3 linked regions of the Arabidopsis thaliana genome follow. The protein of the gene in region 3 interacts with the protein of the main gene of each other region in a pairwise test. Each region holds a gene or a part of one and is shown on either strand. Other genes may lie near its edges.

What was found. Proteins that work in one complex are often made in the same cells at the same time.
Region 1: the proteins of CEV1 (region 3) and TIP1 interact in a two-hybrid assay, tested with the Arabidopsis thaliana proteins (one study listed by BioGRID).
Region 2: the proteins of CEV1 (region 3) and CSI1 interact in a two-hybrid assay, tested with the Arabidopsis thaliana proteins (one study listed by BioGRID).

The regions. Positions count from the first base shown.
Region 1 is NC_003076.8:6,874,564-6,882,027, forward strand, and holds TIP1 (Ankyrin repeat family protein with DHHC zinc finger domain-containing protein), read left to right. Parts: upstream 1-1,877; 5' UTR 1,878-2,208; coding exon 2,209-2,466; intron 2,467-2,570; coding exon 2,571-2,711; intron 2,712-2,832; coding exon 2,833-2,945; intron 2,946-3,440; coding exon 3,441-3,520; intron 3,521-3,621; coding exon 3,622-3,785; intron 3,786-4,089; coding exon 4,090-4,228; intron 4,229-4,326; coding exon 4,327-4,426; intron 4,427-4,791; coding exon 4,792-4,849; intron 4,850-4,972; coding exon 4,973-5,050; intron 5,051-5,158; coding exon 5,159-5,257; intron 5,258-5,609; coding exon 5,610-5,688; intron 5,689-5,783; coding exon 5,784-5,932; intron 5,933-6,134; coding exon 6,135-6,539; 3' UTR 6,540-6,943; downstream 6,944-7,464. Other genes in the region: BG5 (beta-1,3-glucanase 5), read left to right, coding at 224-1,288.
Region 2 is NC_003071.7:9,404,400-9,409,079, reverse strand, and holds the start of CSI1 (binding protein), read right to left. Parts: upstream 3,022-4,680; 5' UTR 2,730-3,021; intron 2,393-2,729; 5' UTR 2,288-2,392; coding exon 2,222-2,287; intron 1,901-2,221; coding exon 1,827-1,900; intron 1,608-1,826; coding exon 1-1,607.
Region 3 is NC_003076.8:1,529,604-1,537,101, reverse strand, and holds CEV1 (Cellulose synthase family protein), read left to right. Parts: upstream 1-1,543; 5' UTR 1,544-1,854; intron 1,855-1,964; 5' UTR 1,965-2,011; coding exon 2,012-2,035; intron 2,036-2,207; coding exon 2,208-2,403; intron 2,404-2,521; coding exon 2,522-2,727; intron 2,728-2,820; coding exon 2,821-2,923; intron 2,924-3,035; coding exon 3,036-3,213; intron 3,214-3,321; coding exon 3,322-3,588; intron 3,589-3,688; coding exon 3,689-4,034; intron 4,035-4,114; coding exon 4,115-4,252; intron 4,253-4,340; coding exon 4,341-4,466; intron 4,467-4,547; coding exon 4,548-4,760; intron 4,761-4,886; coding exon 4,887-5,148; intron 5,149-5,311; coding exon 5,312-5,514; intron 5,515-5,610; coding exon 5,611-5,961; intron 5,962-6,116; coding exon 6,117-6,701; 3' UTR 6,702-6,970; downstream 6,971-7,498. Other genes in the region: AT5G05180 (myosin heavy chain, striated protein), read right to left, coding at 1-9, 106-178; RUL1 (Leucine-rich repeat protein kinase family protein), read right to left, coding at 7,085-7,498. UniProt on the Arabidopsis thaliana protein: Catalytic subunit of cellulose synthase terminal complexes ('rosettes'), required for beta-1,4-glucan microfibril crystallization, a major mechanism of the cell wall formation. Involved in the primary cell wall formation, especially in roots.

The DNA of each region.
Region 1 (7,464 bases), 5.3 Mb from region 3:
GAGGGCTAAGATTACACCAAGAACCAAAATAAAAGAATTTTACTATTTTATTCATACCAATAAGACTGAAAATAGACTCAGATATGCATCTATATATGCAAACAAATATTTTGCAACAAAACATAATAACACAAATCAAGTTTGGTTCTCTTCTTCTTCTTCATAGAAGTACGATCTTAGGATATCTCTATATACACACATTTTGCAGAAAAAAAGTTTCATCATGCTCTATTTGCCTAAGAAACTCTTCTTGTTCTTCTTCTCGTGCATTGTGGTGATTGTCAACTACAACAATAGTGACTTCGTAAACGCAGCAAATAGCATTGGCTTCGTAAACGCAGCAAATAGCATTGGCTTGAACTACGGTCTCCTCGGAGATAACCTCCCATCTCCGTCAAAAGTTATAACCCTTTACAAGTCCATAGACATCACTAAAATCCGAATCTTCGACCCAAACACTGAGGTTCTTAACGCTTTACGTGGCCATCGTGATATTGCGGTCACAGTAGGAGTTAGGGACCAGGACTTGGCTGCTCTTTCAGCTAGCGAAGAAGCTGTTAAGGGCTGGTTTGCGACCAACATCGAGCCTTACTTATCCGACATCAACATCGCGTTCATTACTGTTGGTAACGAAGTCATCCCCGGACCAATCGGTCCTCAAGTGCTTCCAGTCATGCAGTCTCTCACCAACCTCGTCAAGTCAAGGAATCTTCCTATCTCGATAAGCACGGTGGTGGCTATGTGGAACCTCGAGCAATCATACCCACCTTCCGCAGGAATGTTCACGTCTCAAGCGCGTGAACAACTTGTCCCCGTGCTGAAACTATTATCCCAAACAAATTCGCCTATCCTCGTAAAAATCTACCCTTACTTCTCCTATGCGTCCGACCCATCTAGCATCCGTTTGGACTATGCCACCTTCAACACTGAGGCCATCGTGGTACAAGATGGATCACTGGGCTATTCAAACATGTTTGATGCAATCTTTGATGCGTTCGTGTGGGCAATGGAGAAGGAAGGCGTTAAAGATTTACCAATGGTGGTGTCCGAGACCGGATGGCCATCTGCCGGGAATGGAAACATTACCACGCCGGATATCGCGGGTACCTATAACAGAAATTTCGTGAAGCATATAGCAAGCGGAAAAGGTACACCTAAAAGGCCTAACAAAGGCATCGACGGGTTTTTGTTTGCAACTTTCAATGAAAATCAAAAGCCGGTCGGGACTGAACAAAACTTTGGGTTATACAATCCGAATGATATGAAGCCCATCTACAATCTATTCTAATATGTGTGAAAGTTGCTTAGACTTTCCCGATTCATCAATAATTATGTTACACTAGTTGTTAGTGAATTAAAGTAAAACTAACAGTGATATATACACATACTATAAGCAACTGAGATGATGAGATCTCGTCGCGGAACTTAGTTGACTTTTGTAAAATTATTATTATTTAAAAGCAATTTCTCTGGTTTAGTAAACGTACTATGTTTCTTCATATATTTTTTTTTCTTCTAAAATCATTCCATTATGTTTCTTCATCTATTAATACAAGAGTATGCATTTTCAAAATAATACTTTTTTTATATATATATGCAAACCAGTGTTTTTTTTATCAAAATAAGAAATCACTGTCCCAAAATGATTCAATAGTTCAAGGTTTTATAAAAGATTTCTTAACATTTATAATATAACTCTTTTTGTCAAGATATGAAAAATGAAAAAGTATCTCTTATGATTAAGACAGATGTTTTGATTCGTTCATATTCCATTGAACTATATATATATCACTCAACTAGCCAGGTATAATATTTCCCATTACATACAAAAAAAAATGATCATGAAATTAATCAATTTATAAATGTTGGTTTTTTTTTTTTTGGTTAACACTAAAACCAAAAAATAAAATAATGTTGGGTTTTGTTTGACAAAAAAAAGTTAATGAAATGAATGAACGATAAGAATTGAGAGCAAGTCTGTCTCTGACCCGTCTTAATCCGATTCTTAGTCAATTTTTTGAGTTCGTCAATCATATTCTTCTTCTTCTTCTTCCTCTGATTCCCCCAGAAAAAACCTAGCTCCTTCCCTCATTTCCCCCCAAATCTCACGACTTATTTATGCTCGGGGGAGACTAATCAAAGGTCAAAATCCATTAGGGAGGGAATCGAATCTCGATCGATCTCAATTTCTTCTGAGAAAAGAAAAAAATGTCATCGGAGATTGAGGTGGTGGAAGAAATCCAATCGAATCCCAAGGAGAATGGGGAATCGAGTTCTAAAGGGATTGAAGAAGAGAGCTTGAAGAACGATGTCTATACTGCTGCCGCTTATGGTGATTTGGAGAAGCTTCATAGATTGGTTGAGTGTGAGGGTTCCTCTGTTTCCGAGCCTGATGCTCTTGGCTACTATGCTCTTCAGTGGTCTGCCTTGAACAACCGCGTCGCCGTTGCCCAGTACCTTATCGAGGTTTTGTGTCATTTTACGAATTGTTTGTTGATTGCTAAATTAGATTTGAACTAGTGGTTTTCAAGTTTCTAAAACTGATCCTTCTCGATTTCTGGTTTTTCCAGCATGGTGGAGATGTAAACGCGACGGATCATACTGGACAGACTGCATTGCATTGGAGTGCTGTTCGTGGTGCGATACAAGTTGCAGAACTGTTATTACAAGAGGGTGCAAGAGTAGATGCAACGGATATGTATGGCTATCAGGTTCATATCTCTTCTTTAACTACGCGTCCATGTTCTCTGCTGACTTCTATCAAATTTCCCTTCTTTTCTTGTTTAGTTCTCAATGGGTGTATGTTAATACTTAATTTTGAACTGCTTGTAGGCAACACATGTTGCCGCACAGTATGGCCAGACTGCTTTTCTTTGTCACGTTGTCTCAAAGTGGAATGCTGATCCTGACGTGCCTGATAATGATGGAAGAAGCCCCTTGCATTGGTATGCTTGCTGCAAAGCTTGCCTTCGTGAAATTGTTACTTAGTAATTGGTTTTTGGCTTCTTTTTATTTTTTCTTACAATTGTTTAGCCTTGCACGCTTATTTGGAGACTGGATAATTGGTTTTATTTGTTCCCTTTTCTTATTATTCCTATAGATTTAATATCTCTTCGTTCAATTTTGTTCTAGTTGCCAAGTATACTGGGTGGATTAGAATTAATTTTTGTCAACTATTTGCCTATGATAGTTCTCGAGTTTTTGTTATGAAGATTTGTGAATACGTATTACTGTTTTCCATCTAGAGACTAAGGTTACATAGGTTATTTTCTCTCCCGTTTTTCTTACTGAGACTTCGTTACCGTTACATGGATTATTCTACTGCATGATTTTTAGCTTTCTTATGTTGACCTTTTGATTTTATCCTATTTTTACAGTATCTTTTCAGAAGACAGTTCTAATTTCGTCTTTATATTCTTCTCATAATTTGAGAAATTCAGGGCTGCATATAAAGGTTTTGCAGATTCCATTCGCCTACTTTTATTTCTAGATGCATATAGAGGACGACAAGACAAAGAAGGTGGTTACAAACATATTTTTTTTTTAAATCTTCTTTGTTTATTTTCTTAGATTAACTATACGTTTCTAACATCTTCTCCGTTATATTGATTCTGTTATCAGGTTGCACTCCTCTGCATTGGGCTGCCATCCGAGGTAATTTGGAGGCTTGCACTGTCTTGGTGCAGGCTGGAAAGAAAGAGGATTTGATGATTACTGACAAGACTGGGCTAACCCCTGCGCAACTTGCTGCTGAAAAGAATCACAGACAAGTTTCTTTTTTCCTTGTAGGTATCTGTTTTACTTGTTTGTTGTGTAGCAATATGTATTCATACTGTTTGATTTGATGCTTTCGTAGTGGCTGTACTGCTTGCAATAATTAGTAGTTGAATCATTTTATTGGCAGTTATGTGCATCTCATTTGACCTTTGCATACCTGGTGTAGTTAACTCTACTTATAGCTGTACTATGTTAGTTTTTCCAAGTCTGTAGATTTTCTTATCCATTCAAAATGAGCAGCATTATGCTTAAATTATTGAGAAAATTGTGTCGATATTTGTCTGAATCTGTCTTATAAACGCTACTGTGCAGGGTAATGCTCGAAGCCTGCTTGAAAAGCGTTGTGACGGAAGCAGTCCCCTCGGAAGATTGTCAAAGTTGGGACTCGCTCCAGTTCTTTGGATCATGATCCTGCTGCTTCTGCTCGTATATACGAATTCGGTTGTTTTGGGTAGTTACCTTGGCCTTCTCAATTCTCCTTTGTCTGCATCATATCAAGTAACTGTTCTATGCATGCCTATCATTTTATGAACCCTTTGACCATTGCAGCATCCAATCTGCCAAAGTTAACGACTGGGATTGGTGCGCTTGCATGGCTGGGATTCATTCTTGCAACTGCAGGATTATTTTTGTTCTACCGCTGTAGCAGGTATATGCTCACCCTGTCCTTCCTCGATTTCCATTTCGTATATCTTCTAAAAGTAGCCATGTCTGCTCTCTGTTGTTATCTGATTATTAGTATAGTGTATCTTTGGCTCTTCACTATGCATAAATTTCTTATATTTCACCTGACGGTTGCAGATTAAGATATTACATTATAGTATTCTAAGCCGATTCTCTTCATGGTTTCATTCATCACCTAGCGATAGCAGTTTGGGATTTTAAGGCCTTTACTTCGTTCCAGCTGTAGTTTCTATTGTGAACTCCTTATTTTTCCATGTAGTGTAAATACCTTTGTATCACAAGAAGCGGGTTTTCTTATTGTTTTATATTGTAATTTTATTTTTTCTGCAGGAAGGATCCAGGTTACATCAGAATGAATATCCATGATCCGCAAACCATGAAAGATGATGTTAGTAGCTTATTGATTCTCAAGTTTAACTTACATAATTGTCCATATTATATCCGGTTCGGTATGATTTTGAGTACTATTTTCTTGTTCAAGTGTCTGACTGGTTTTCTTACCCCTTTACAGGAACCACTCTTAAAAATAGAGCTAAACAATCCTGCTTTGCTTGCTGGGAATTGGACACAGCTCTGTGCAACATGCAAGGTACCTGCTCAAATTCCGTTTTATGTCTTTCTTCAATCTTAACACCATACTTAATCATCGATGCTACATATTTACTTGTTTTGGTCCACTGTGTTTCATTTTATTCAGATTATCAGACCTCTTCGAGCTAAGCACTGTTCCACCTGTGATCGTTGTGTAGAGCAATTTGATCACCATTGTCCTTGGGTATCAAATTGTGTTGGAAAAGTAAGTACAGTTCCTTTCCTATTTTAGTTTTTGACATAGAAGTTGGCAAAATAGGAGTAGACGGATCAGGCTTTTGTTTGATACTAACATTTCATATAAACTAAATCTGCCTTGCTCTTCATTGTCTCTTTTGGTGTGACCTAACTTACAGTTCTTTTCGAAAATGCTTAGTGGTATATTTGTGTTGCATATTTGGGTATACAGATCAACAGATATGCTTCTTGGTGTCATATCACCTCTTCTATTTATTTTGGTTGCTAGTGGTTTGATTTGTTAGTCTTGCAGCTCGAGCATGATACTAGTCTGTGATACTAATCTGTGGATTGTCCTTGTTTTCCAACCTATTTTGCAGAAAAACAAGTGGGAATTTTTTCTTTTTCTTCTACTTGAAGTTCTAGCGATGCTGATAACTGGTGGCGTCACTCTTGCAAGTATGTTTGTAGTGGAAAATGCCCTTTAATCATTATATGTAAATGTAGAGAAAACTTTCGGACAAAAATGTAAATGTTGTATTATCTACATGCAGGAGTCTTGAGTGACCCTTCAGCTCCATCTTCTTTTGGAGCATGGATGAGCCATGTCGCTAGTAATCATGTGGGTGCTTTATCCTTTCTGCTAGTGGAATTCTGCCTCTTCTTTTCTGTCGCCGTCTTAACAGTCATACAAGCGTCACAAGTGAGCCCTCATTCCTTTTTCCTTATCTGCACATCTTTGTTCCTCATACAAAGGCTGCTCTTTCGTACTTTGCTTCCCCGGATTACTCATCTCTAGAATAGCTCCAGAGCTAAAACTCACTAAGTAGACTAGATTATTCGATTTTCATGGCGTGGTGTTTTGCCTCATCCTGAAGATCCATTCTCCCTATTTTCCCTTACAGATATCAAGGAACATAACCACAAATGAAATGGCCAACGCCCTGCGGTACAGCTACCTAAGAGGTCCAGGTGGTCGGTTTAGGAATCCTTATGATCTCGGGTGCAGAAGAAACTGCTCGGACTTCTTAGTAAAAGGTTATAACGAAGATATTGAGTGTCATGAAGAAGACGCAACACAGAGACCAGAGGGTATTAGCATGATGCAGATGCAGCGGAATCCAAATCTTCAAAATGGCAATGGCCATGTTGCTATCGATGTTAACCCGACACATAATTCACAGTCAGCACATGTTCATTCTGCCAACTGCAGCCATAGCCATAATAGTAAGTCAAAGAGTGACAATGTTCCTTTGGGTTTGGGACTTGGTCTTAGCCGCAACCCAACCCGACCTGTTGTATCTCCATAATATGGCCCGTGTCCCAAATGTGCATTTGTGTTGTAAGAAACACGTTTTCTCTCCTCGAGTCATTGATTACATCATTATCCGTTTCATGTGAAGATAGTAATACTCCCTTGTTTTCAATTTTCTATGCAAAAATTAAATGTCATGTTTCTTATCAATTATTTTTAGAGTATATTTTCTTATTGGTTGAATTCAGTTTACTCAATGACACAGAGAATATAACAGAAATGGTTGTACATTATGTTTTCTGGCTGAGGTATGGAAGTTTGACTCCGTCAATACACTGATACGACTTGCTTATATGTAACAAAAACATCATTAAATTTTATATGTAACAACGAATTACAAGACAATGACTGACTCCGCACCAAAATCTTGCTAAGGGCCCAAAAATAGAAAATGAAAAAAAAAAGAAAAAAAAAACAATTTGTTGTTTGTGTATGAATGTTTCACGCCAAATGCAATCTGAGTCATAAACCAATGAATAAAGTCACAACTCACCCTGTGGCAGAAGAAGAATCTGCATGATATCTTTGCTTCACCCCTCACCAAAATCAATGGTATAAATGTTACACAAACAAAATAGAACATATATGTTTTTTTCTGTCTACAAAAATCTGAATTTGGTTGTACCACAACAAGACAAAAACCTGCAAAGAGAGATTTTGTGGTTAGCTGATGATTTCAAACCCAAGTGGTATCCAGAATGTGAACACTTATTGGTTCAGGTCAAAGAAGTAAAAGCATTGCCTATAACAGTCGCAATAAGTAAAATAAAAGTTAGGTAGTTATGACAGAGCATAGTCTGGACAATGAAATGAAATGGACTAAGTATAGTCTGGTCTGATTAAGTTTCTTTATCATCTTGAACATAAGGTTCAGCCCTAACACTGGCCAACAACATTTAGTTCCTCAGAAGTCAGACCTA
Region 2 (4,680 bases), on a different chromosome or scaffold from region 3:
AGAGAGCAGGGACAGCATCCGCACTTTCAACACAAGCACGTATATCTTCGCTATGATTGCACAAGTTCCTAAGGATAGTTGCAGAGTCTTCCCTGGCTTTGGCCGACCCAGTCTCTAGAATTTGAACAAGTGGAGGTATACCTCCAGCAGCAGTGATGGCCCACTTGCTTTCATCATTTTCGTTAGACAAAAGGCAAAGAAGTGCAACAGCACATTCTTGCTGCTGTTCGGATGAAAGACCCAAAAGAGATATTAGCAATTGGATCCCTTCACGGCCCTGTAGTGCTTGCCACAGGCTACCTTCATGGTTACACAGCATCAGAAGAGCCTTTACAAGCTCATCTTGAACCTCATTCACCGCCATCGTTATTAGACCAACAAGCAAACGTTTTGCATCCGAGTTGGAAAGTTTGACAGAGAGTATGGAATTCCCATACAAACTTGCAAGTGCTTCAATTGTACGTTCTTGCACCAAGAATGGTAGACGAGGCTTAAACTGCTTCAGCAGAGTCTGTTCAACGACCAATGGATCTGATGCTCTTGTAGTTTCTGCCTTGCCATCATATATCATCAATGCTGAAGCTAAAGCCCCAAGGGTGTCGGCAGTCTGAGCAGGCGAAGAGCAAGATTCAAGGCTCTGACCAAGGCTTGATATGACATATGACAAACCACCGGAAATATTAGCAAGGGCACACATTGCATTTTCTTGTAATGCTTGCGCATATTCACCTTGCATGAATTCTTTAGATGGAGCTATTGTTGCATTTATTAAAACAGGAATACCATTAGAATTAGCGATTTCCCGCTTTGCTTCCTTAGATTGAGCAGAAAGCGACTTGAGAGCAGCAGCAGCCTCTGCCCTCACTGGGGCTTCATTACCCGATCCTAATAATTTGAGAAGCTGTTTTGTAATGTCTGCAGTCAATACACTGGAACAAACAGAGGCGTCTTCCATCATCATACACGCAAGAAGGAAGCAGACATTAGATAGTGTACTTGACTGCCCGCTTGTGAGCAGCTTCACAAGTACATCCACTCCCCCAGCTCGAATTGTCTCAGACCAAAATCCCTCTGTGGTACTAGAAAGGTTCTTAAGTGCACCAGTTAACAAACCATCAACCTCTCCTTTTTTATTTCCACTGCGCAATTGGTCCCACAGAACCGGTACAACTCCCTCAGTGGAAAATATTTTTGATCCAACATGGTCTTTAACCCCACCTTCAGAAACAGCATAGATTGTCTTTGCTGCAGCGATCTGCCCTTCGACTGAACTGGACTTGAGAAGACCAAGCAATGGAGGAATGCATCCCCCAAGTAACACCTTAACTCTAAGTTCGTTCTCCTTGCAGAGTGAACCCAAGACGGTTGCAGCTTGTATCTTCACTCCAACTGATCCCGATCGGAGAAGAGAGACAAGTACTGGCACAGCTTGGGAGTGTGATCCGACAGCACTGAATGCATTCTCACGCATTTCTATAAGGTCCAGTAACTGCTTCAGACAATATTCTCTTTCTTGTGCAGATGATGAACCTTGGCGCAGCTGCTCAATGCATTGGGCAACACTTGCTAATGTCCCATCTGGATCTTCCATGCTGGTTGTCCGGTCTCTGCAGGGGATGGGGAAAGTTAGATACTAATTCGCTAATAGGTGTGCCTTTCTGCTTAAAATGTCTCATTTGAAAGGATAACATAGGAAACCAATCCAGATAATATTAATTTCCACAGGCATTGTTAAACCAAGATGGTGGTGCAACAAATACAGATAAAACCTCAATTTTATCACGATGATTAGCTCCCATGCAGTACCAAATACATATATGCGTTACCTCAAACTCATCTTTGTGGTTGAATGTGGAGTTGGGGGCTCTGAATCATGCATCTTCATATCCCCATTTCTCTCCTGCAATCAAGACCAAACAACAGAAAATAAGTTAAAAGAGCAACAAGACCTTTTCGCTCCTATGCAATGGAAAAACTATAACCTTTATCATGACACTCTATCAGATATAACTGACTGGTACAAAGCCATTAATTAACAATGGACTTAGCTCAAGTACTTTTTTCAAATCAGATTCAAAATGCAAGGGACATATCAGCTTAATCATCCTGCTAATACACCAGATCTGACTTTGCAACTCAGAAAGATTGCAGTATATCAACTAAACAAGCTTTTCCATAAACCCGTGTGATGAATGTTAATACTGAATCAAGTAATTATTACCGTGTCACTTGGGGCAAGGCCATTTCCATTAGTGGAAGGAAATCTCCATCCAAGAGCACTTGTCATATCTTCACTTCACTTAAAAAATTCTCAAATCAAAAGTAGACCCAGAGACCTTGCCCCCTACCCAGATCTACTCAAATCAGATCGTCAGAACATCAACAACACCCCCTGCATAATATATAAAAAGGATCAATCTTTACAATAGAAAACGATACAGTGAAGTAGGAAAAGCTCAATGCAATTATATTATAATTGAAGACTAATAGTATAAAAATATCACTCTACCTAACTGAATTCTACTACTGCTAAATCTCGATCCGAATCGTTTAACATTCCAGATTCGAACTAAAGCTAAATGAGGAAACTTTTTAACCAATAGGAACTCAAAAAACAGGATTCTTCAGATCTAGATCATAATTGGATCTCTATCAATGAAATCAAACACAAGAGATCCGATAATTCAAAAAGCATGCATTTAGACATTGATAGATCAAATTGAACTCACCTCAATGCAACAAGGAGAAGAAGATGAACAATCTGTTACGTAGAAGAGAAGCGAATAAGACGAGAGAAAGGAGAGAGGAGTGAGAGAGAGGTTTCTTCTTCTTCTTCGTCTGTGATTTTGACTCAACAAAGTATAAAGCGGGGGAGAGAGAGAGGGAAGAGAGAGAGCTGTGTGTGTGCTGGTGAGAGAGAGTGATCAGATTGGAGCCGGCTTTGTCCACCGACAGACAGCGAGTGGATTCACTTAGCGACTCGAGCCGGCTTGAGTCGGTTGTCGAGCCGACAGAACTAAACGACTCTTGTACAGCGAATGGTATACTTAATTGTTTTTTATTACTTTCTTTAATCAAAAATAAATGAGGAAATTGACTTTTAGCTGTGAATTAATTATTTACATCAAACATTTTTTTTGTTAACAAAAATTATATAACTGTTTTTTTCCAGCAATTAGCCAATTAGTAAACATTTTGGTTCATTTGTTCAAGCAAAATTTTACATTTTATAAATTTGATTAACCTTTTTATCCAAAACATCCGTAGAATTGAAACAATATAAGAAAAAATATTATACCACAAAAATTACACACACGAATAAAAATATTGTCTAATTTATTTCTCAGATAATAACTTAATTAGTTAATTGTCTCTAAGTTTAGATTATGTTACCAAATTATCACTCATGGGGTTATCTCGATTTTTTAGTGCAACACAGTCATTACAAATATTTATTTAATATTTTTCAAAAGGATATCAAAAATAAATTGTCTATTTTATTGTGTCATTTAACATGTTGAAGTAAGTTATGTAATAATCAAAAGTTATCTCTTACAAGATCAATCGGATAAACAATCAAGAAAAAATAATAAAATATACTGATGAATTAATAAAAAGAATAATAGTAAGATCTGCAGTAGTTGTTGTTATTGGTCCTATTATGTTGATTTGTTACCAAACTTGATTAATTAGCCCATAACAATGGCGATAGTAAAGGTTTCTATCTACCACCAATTGTCATCCACAACATAATCATCACGAATTCTATATATATGGACAAAAAGTATAATAACTATTTTTACGGCTTCCTTCACATCTAAATTATTTTCCATAATTGTTCAAAAATCGCGACAGCAGTTCTTTTCGTCTGAAAGTGAGAGAAGTCGGGGGAGCAAATTATAAGGATGGTAAAACATATAACGTGGGAGAGAAAAAGCACATGGCCTCATGGCTCATGAGAATCAAAGATTCTAAGTTTTAACTATTCTTTTGTTTTTTCCTCGACGCATGTTTTGTTTCTATCGACAACTATGCCCATAAAAGCATATGATATGCACAATTATGATAATCATATGAATGCACATGTGCTCTTTCTTCCTAGCCAATTATGATCATTGACGATCATCACTATACCATAAAAATGACTGGACAAAGTCATATTCTTTGATGCTTCTTGTCACAACTTGATACATCCACTTTCCCGAACCGTATAAAACCCAAGAAGCAAAATTCTCATATAGATCTCATAGATTCGTTCGAAATATGTTAAATTTGCATCGGATATAGAAGGTGAAGGCTGCGTCTCCGGCCGGTGAACCGTCGTTTTACTGATCTTGTTTCTATTATGTTCCGATTTGGACCACTTTTTTGTAACCCGTGAAATTCTTAGCCCATCTGTCAATAGACCGTTTGGAAATGAATATCTAAAAAAAAAAAAAAAGATGTGAAGTCCATATTTAATCAGTGCCCGGCATTGGAACGTAGTAAGTTTGAGGAAGCATCAACTTGTAGCCGTGAAATTAATATTATGGTTTTTAGTGGTTTTAATTTAGCGTGTCATAAGTGAGAGTAAAAGAACTCTTTGATATTTCATTTTCATACATATATAATTTACTTCAATATAATGGTTTGATGAGGGTCTTATCATACATTTGATTTTTTCTTTTATTTTAGTGTTAC
Region 3 (7,498 bases):
CATTGTGATCTGAAACTTGACAATTGATATGTCTAATAAGATTTCTACGTTTGAACGGAAACGCACACAACCAAAATAAGACATGAATGAATTATACGGTTATACCTGTTGAGATGTCCACAAAGGAATTCGAATTATGTGGCCACTCATCTGGGACCTCAACTGTTGTAAAATCCATTACACTTAAACAACAAAAAGCGAATCAACTTAAAAATGATCAAGCAAAAAAAAATCAAAGAAACGTAAACATAGAATGATGTAACAGAAAAACCCTAAAAATACAGAAGATATACGAGATATAAAAACTGGTAAGATTTTTATTTACTTTTTTTTTTTTTATACTCCTAAGATTTAGCTATAACTAAACGTATTTATATTTTTTGACCAAAAAAAAAAAAAACGTATTTATATTTATCTCTACAATAATTTCGATTAAAAATATCTAACAAAAAAAAAAGTTGTGATAATAATCAGTGGAAAACTATCATGAAGAGACAAGCTAATGTTCTTTAATTGAAATCTTAGAAAATAAAAAAACTAGGGTTGCGTAAATTTTAAGACTTTCTTATGTCACAGAACTGAACTTTTTTCACTACATGTAAACAGAAATTATAACTCATTTGCAACGGTGAAGAAACATAGACAAAGACCCTCCATAAATCTCAGAAAAACAGAGCAAGTAACTCAGATCATAAGATCTACAAAACACATCAACGGAACAAACAAATATCAAACCCTGAAATCTGATTCACATAGGACCAAATAAACATGAGATTTCACTGACCTTGAAAATTGATATGATCGAGGGAACAAAAGAGCAGATTTACAGGAAAAGTGAAGGAGAAACAAAGGAAGGTTTAAGTAGAGGATTGCTAGGGTACGAGAGTTACGAAGCAGAAGGTGGAAAGGTTTAAAGGGACGACAAAGAGGAGGGAAGATTTGTCGGATAGCGAAGAGAAAGTGGCGCTCTTTGGGATTCAAATGTTTGCCATTTTCTTCTTTTGTCTATCTGACAGTCTGTTCTTTGCTGCACTAGTGGCCACACATCTCCACATGCACCACCAGTTATCAAAGTTTGACCTATTAATTATTGGGTTCGGTTCGATTCAATTTTCTCTCGTAAATAACGTAAACCGAACATATACCAATTTTGTCTGCAAAGTCCAACAAACCCATTTTCTCGATTCTGTTGGGCTTGATGATACTAGAGTTGGACCTTTATTTTTTCAGCCCGCTGGTTTTAGCCTATTTTGATATACTAGTAAGTAAAGCATCACTATCAATATATTTTGATTTATTCATTGGACTAATCCGTTGATTAATTAATATTTTGAAGTTTTATTTTTGTCGGCAAATACTTTTTAAGTTTTATCTGTAAGAAAGTTAGTGACGATGAATATCCTTTACCCCACTACTTGTGATTTGTTGTGTTCTTCACACTTCTATTTTAGTTATATCACTATCAAATATCAATTACTATTTTGATTTAGTCACTAATTCGATGATAATATATTTCTAAGGATATTTTAAAGGTTTATCGGCCGTTTTTTCACTTTTTTTACAGCCACTGTAAAACTGTAACTAGAAAAAAATCGACTGTGGAAGTTGTCGGTGGTGGTGGTGGTTGTTGCTTGGTTGGATTATGATTTGTGACAAATATATTAATATTTTAAAAATCTGGAAGAGTGACGAGTAGAGGAGACAAATAGCTTGCTCTTTGCATCTTCTTAGCCATCCCAAGATTCTCCTCTTCGTCTTCCTTATAAACTATCTCTCTGTAGAGAAGAAAGCTTGGATCCAGATTGAGAGAGATTCAGAGAGTCACATCACCACACTCCATCTTCAGATCTCATGGTAAAGCTTTTAACTCTTCTTACACTCATGATCCATTCTCAGATTTGACTTCCTTTACTCGGATCTCCTCAGATCTAATCGTAGTTTCTGTTTTTGATAATTCCGATCAGATTTGAACTATTCCGACGTTTCGGTGTTGGAAGCAACTAAGTGACAAATGGAATCCGAAGGAGAAACCGCGGTATGCTTTTTTGACTCTTGCTTCATCATTATACTTACCTTTATCGAAATCAGGAATTATATGTACTGAAATTGATTGATTTGGGTGTTGAATTGTGTATTGGAGAGATCTGATTTCAAATTTTCTGTTGAGGTTTCTAATTTTGGCTTCATTGATTCGACTTGATTTGTAGGGAAAGCCGATGAAGAACATTGTTCCGCAGACTTGCCAGATCTGTAGTGACAATGTTGGCAAGACTGTTGATGGAGATCGTTTTGTGGCTTGTGATATTTGTTCATTCCCAGTTTGTCGGCCTTGCTACGAGTATGAGAGGAAAGATGGGAATCAATCTTGTCCTCAGTGCAAAACCAGATACAAGAGGCTCAAAGGTTCTCTTTTGATCCTTCTGAAGTATACTGTCTTCATTGTTCATCGATAGTTTATCAGTATGTTTTGAATTTTGGATCAGATTGGTATTTATAGCAATTTGCTAATTTCTGATTCTAGGTAGTCCTGCTATTCCTGGTGATAAAGACGAGGATGGCTTAGCTGATGAAGGTACTGTTGAGTTCAACTACCCTCAGAAGGAGAAAATTTCAGAGCGGATGCTTGGTTGGCATCTTACTCGTGGGAAGGGAGAGGAAATGGGGGAACCCCAGTATGATAAAGAGGTCTCTCACAATCATCTTCCTCGTCTCACGAGCAGACAAGATGTAAGGCATTGCTGTTCATTCTTCCCTCTTAAGCATTCGCATCCTCACGCAATTTAGTTTTGGAATCTGATTTTGTCATTTGCTTATTTACAGACTTCAGGAGAGTTTTCTGCTGCCTCACCTGAACGCCTCTCTGTATCTTCTACTATCGCTGGGGGAAAGCGCCTTCCCTATTCATCAGATGTCAATCAATCACGTAAATATCCTTTATTTCTAACTCTCTCGCCAACACATATATTTGTACCTAGGCTTCTCTTTTATGTCAAAACTCTAAACAATAAAATCTGTTGTTGTCATTCACGCTGCAGCAAATAGAAGGATTGTGGATCCTGTTGGACTCGGGAATGTAGCTTGGAAGGAGAGAGTTGATGGCTGGAAAATGAAGCAAGAGAAGAATACTGGTCCTGTCAGCACGCAGGCTGCTTCTGAAAGAGGTGGAGTAGATATTGATGCCAGCACAGATATCCTAGCAGATGAGGCTCTGCTGTGAGTTCTTGTTTTGTAATCTTGTTTGTTCTGTCGTGGTGTACCGAGCGTTTTTCCTATTAAGCAATGTCCTGATACTCATTTTCCAATTCTTTATTTATTGTACAGGAATGACGAAGCGAGGCAGCCTCTGTCAAGGAAAGTTTCAATTCCTTCATCACGGATCAATCCTTACAGAATGGTTATTATGCTGCGGCTTGTTATCCTTTGTCTCTTCTTGCATTACCGTATAACAAACCCAGTGCCAAATGCCTTTGCTCTATGGCTGGTCTCTGTGATATGTGAGATCTGGTTTGCCTTATCCTGGATTTTGGATCAGTTTCCCAAGTGGTTTCCTGTGAACCGTGAAACCTACCTCGACAGGCTTGCTTTAAGGTAAGTTCTATTTCCCCATTCTTCTGAAGCAATTACTCAAAGGATTGTTTGCCTATACTGTTTCCCATTTTAATTTGATCATGGTCAATTTTTGGGACAGATATGATCGTGAAGGTGAGCCATCACAGTTAGCTGCTGTTGACATTTTCGTGAGTACTGTTGACCCCTTGAAGGAGCCACCCCTTGTGACAGCCAACACAGTGCTCTCTATTCTGGCTGTTGACTACCCAGTTGACAAGGTGTCCTGTTATGTTTCTGATGATGGTGCTGCTATGTTATCATTTGAATCACTTGCAGAAACATCAGAGTTTGCTCGTAAATGGGTACCATTTTGCAAGAAATATAGCATAGAGCCTCGTGCACCAGAATGGTACTTTGCTGCGAAAATAGATTACTTGAAGGATAAAGTTCAGACATCATTTGTCAAAGATCGTAGAGCTATGAAGGTAAGTTTGTAGTTTTAGTCATCTAGTCACCCTCACTTTGATTTTAGTGTATGCTATATTGACCTTTTATTTTCTTTCAGAGGGAATATGAGGAATTTAAAATCCGAATCAATGCACTTGTTTCCAAAGCCCTAAAATGTCCTGAAGAAGGGTGGGTTATGCAAGATGGCACACCGTGGCCTGGAAATAATACAAGGGACCATCCAGGAATGATCCAGGTAAGAAATTGGTTTTAACTATGGAATCGAGAATGCTCTCTCTTTCTCTCTAGAAGTTCATTATTGAAGTACCATTTGCTGAATGCAGGTCTTCTTAGGGCAAAATGGTGGACTTGATGCAGAGGGCAATGAGCTCCCGCGTTTGGTATATGTTTCTCGAGAAAAGCGACCAGGATTCCAGCACCACAAAAAGGCTGGTGCTATGAATGCACTGGTAAGTTTCTGATCTTGGATTTTTGACTTCTTCATTCTGACCAATTTGTTAGTCTAATCTGGGTACTTTTCAAATGAATAGGTGAGAGTTTCAGCAGTTCTTACCAATGGACCTTTCATCTTGAATCTTGATTGTGATCATTACATAAATAACAGCAAAGCCTTAAGAGAAGCAATGTGCTTCCTGATGGACCCAAACCTCGGGAAGCAAGTTTGTTATGTTCAGTTCCCACAAAGATTTGATGGTATCGATAAGAACGATAGATATGCTAATCGTAATACCGTGTTCTTTGATGTAAGTCACACTTACCTATACTTGCGTCTAATTTTCTTGTTCTTTCAAATTGCTTTTAGACACGAATATACATTAAACTCACAGTTTCTTGAGTTTGTCGTAATTTTTCCATGATATGTTTTCCAGATTAACTTGAGAGGTTTAGATGGGATTCAAGGACCTGTATATGTCGGAACTGGATGTGTTTTCAACAGAACAGCATTATACGGTTATGAACCTCCAATAAAAGTAAAACACAAGAAGCCAAGTCTTTTATCTAAGCTCTGTGGTGGATCAAGAAAGAAGAATTCCAAAGCTAAGAAAGAGTCGGACAAAAAGAAATCAGGCAGGCATACTGACTCAACTGTTCCTGTATTCAACCTCGATGACATAGAAGAGGGAGTTGAAGGTACAACTGTTTTTATTTCTTCTTTGGTTTCCGTTATACCCATATGTTGCTGTTTGAAATATTGATCCAGGGGAGGGGATTATTTATAGTTGACAGTTGTCTAAATAGTTTCCATACTAGGTATCTCATCATGTCTTAACTATTTGGCATTTGTGAAACTTAGGTGCTGGTTTTGATGATGAAAAGGCGCTCTTAATGTCGCAAATGAGCCTGGAGAAGCGATTTGGACAGTCTGCTGTTTTTGTTGCTTCTACCCTAATGGAAAATGGTGGTGTTCCTCCTTCAGCAACTCCAGAAAACCTTCTCAAAGAGGCTATCCATGTCATTAGTTGTGGTTATGAGGATAAGTCAGATTGGGGAATGGAGGTATAATCTCATTTGAACTCCTACATGAATCTGCATTGTTCTGACATATCCACTTTGGCATTCACTTTGTTTATATTTTCCGCTGTCTTTCTTCAGATTGGATGGATCTATGGTTCTGTGACAGAAGATATTCTGACTGGGTTCAAAATGCATGCCCGTGGATGGCGATCCATTTACTGCATGCCTAAGCTTCCAGCTTTCAAGGGTTCTGCTCCTATCAATCTTTCAGATCGTCTGAACCAAGTGCTGAGGTGGGCTTTAGGTTCAGTTGAGATTCTCTTCAGTCGGCATTGTCCTATATGGTATGGTTACAATGGGAGGCTAAAATTTCTTGAGAGGTTTGCGTATGTGAACACCACCATCTACCCTATCACCTCCATTCCTCTTCTCATGTATTGTACATTGCCAGCCGTTTGTCTCTTCACCAACCAGTTTATTATTCCTCAGGTTTGACACCTCTCTCTGTCTATCTATCTCTATCTCTATCTCTATCTCTAGAACAAACCTTAATTACGTTCTGTTTAACTGAAACCATGTTGTGTTTGTCATCTATTTACGGTTCCAAATCCTGATCAGCTGGTTCTATTGTTCCTCTTTTGCAGATTAGTAACATTGCAAGTATATGGTTTCTGTCTCTCTTTCTCTCCATTTTCGCCACGGGTATACTAGAAATGAGGTGGAGTGGCGTAGGCATAGACGAATGGTGGAGAAACGAGCAGTTTTGGGTCATTGGTGGAGTATCCGCTCATTTATTCGCTGTGTTTCAAGGTATCCTCAAAGTCCTTGCCGGTATTGACACAAACTTCACAGTTACCTCAAAAGCTTCAGATGAAGACGGAGACTTTGCTGAGCTCTACTTGTTCAAATGGACAACACTTCTGATTCCGCCAACGACGCTGCTCATTGTAAACTTAGTGGGAGTTGTTGCAGGAGTCTCTTATGCTATCAACAGTGGATACCAATCATGGGGACCACTCTTTGGTAAGTTGTTCTTTGCCTTCTGGGTGATTGTTCACTTGTACCCTTTCCTCAAGGGTTTGATGGGTCGACAGAACCGGACTCCTACCATTGTTGTGGTCTGGTCTGTTCTCTTGGCTTCTATCTTCTCGTTGTTGTGGGTTAGGATTGATCCCTTCACTAGCCGAGTCACTGGCCCGGACATTCTGGAATGTGGAATCAACTGTTGAGAAGCGAGCAAATATTTACCTGTTTTGAGGGTTAAAAAAAACACAGAATTTAAATTATTTTTCATTGTTTTATTTGTTCACTTTTTTACTTTTGTTGTGTGTATCTGTCTGTTCGTTCTTCTGTCTTGGTGTCATAAATTTATGTGTAGAATATATCTTACTCTAGTTACTTTGGAAAGTTATAATTAAAGTGAAAGCGAATATTTTTTTGTTTCTGTAGTTAAAGCAGTGGTTATGATTTTTCAATTTTCATTAGTGAAAGCAGTTACGTTTGATCATAAGCACTAAACTACGATGCAAAGAGAAATTATTTTTAACTGGGATTCAAAAGTAATAAGATAGAAGTAGAATTGATCAAAGAAACTTTTGGTCGGAATGAGGAATCATTCAGAGACATTGGAAGTAGCCTCTGAGGATGTTCTGTTTTGCTGTAACTGCTGAGACTGATCCAATCTCCTCACATCTTCAATCATCCTCGCGACCTCTTCCATCTTTGGCCTCGATTCTGGATTCCTTGCAACACAGGCCAACGCTAGCTGAAGCATCTGAACCATCTCCTCTTCAATGTTCTGAAACTTCAAGAGCTCCACATCGAAAACCTCTGCAGTCCACTCTTCTCTCACAACAGACCGAACCCATCTCGGAAGATCAATGACGACACGCTCATCCTCGAGACCAGGCTGAGTTAAAGGTGTCTTCCCGGTTAGCATTTCGAGAATCACCACACCAAAGCTATAAACGTCTGATCTTTGACTGACTCTCCTCGTCTCAATAACTTCAGGAGCATTGTAGCCAAT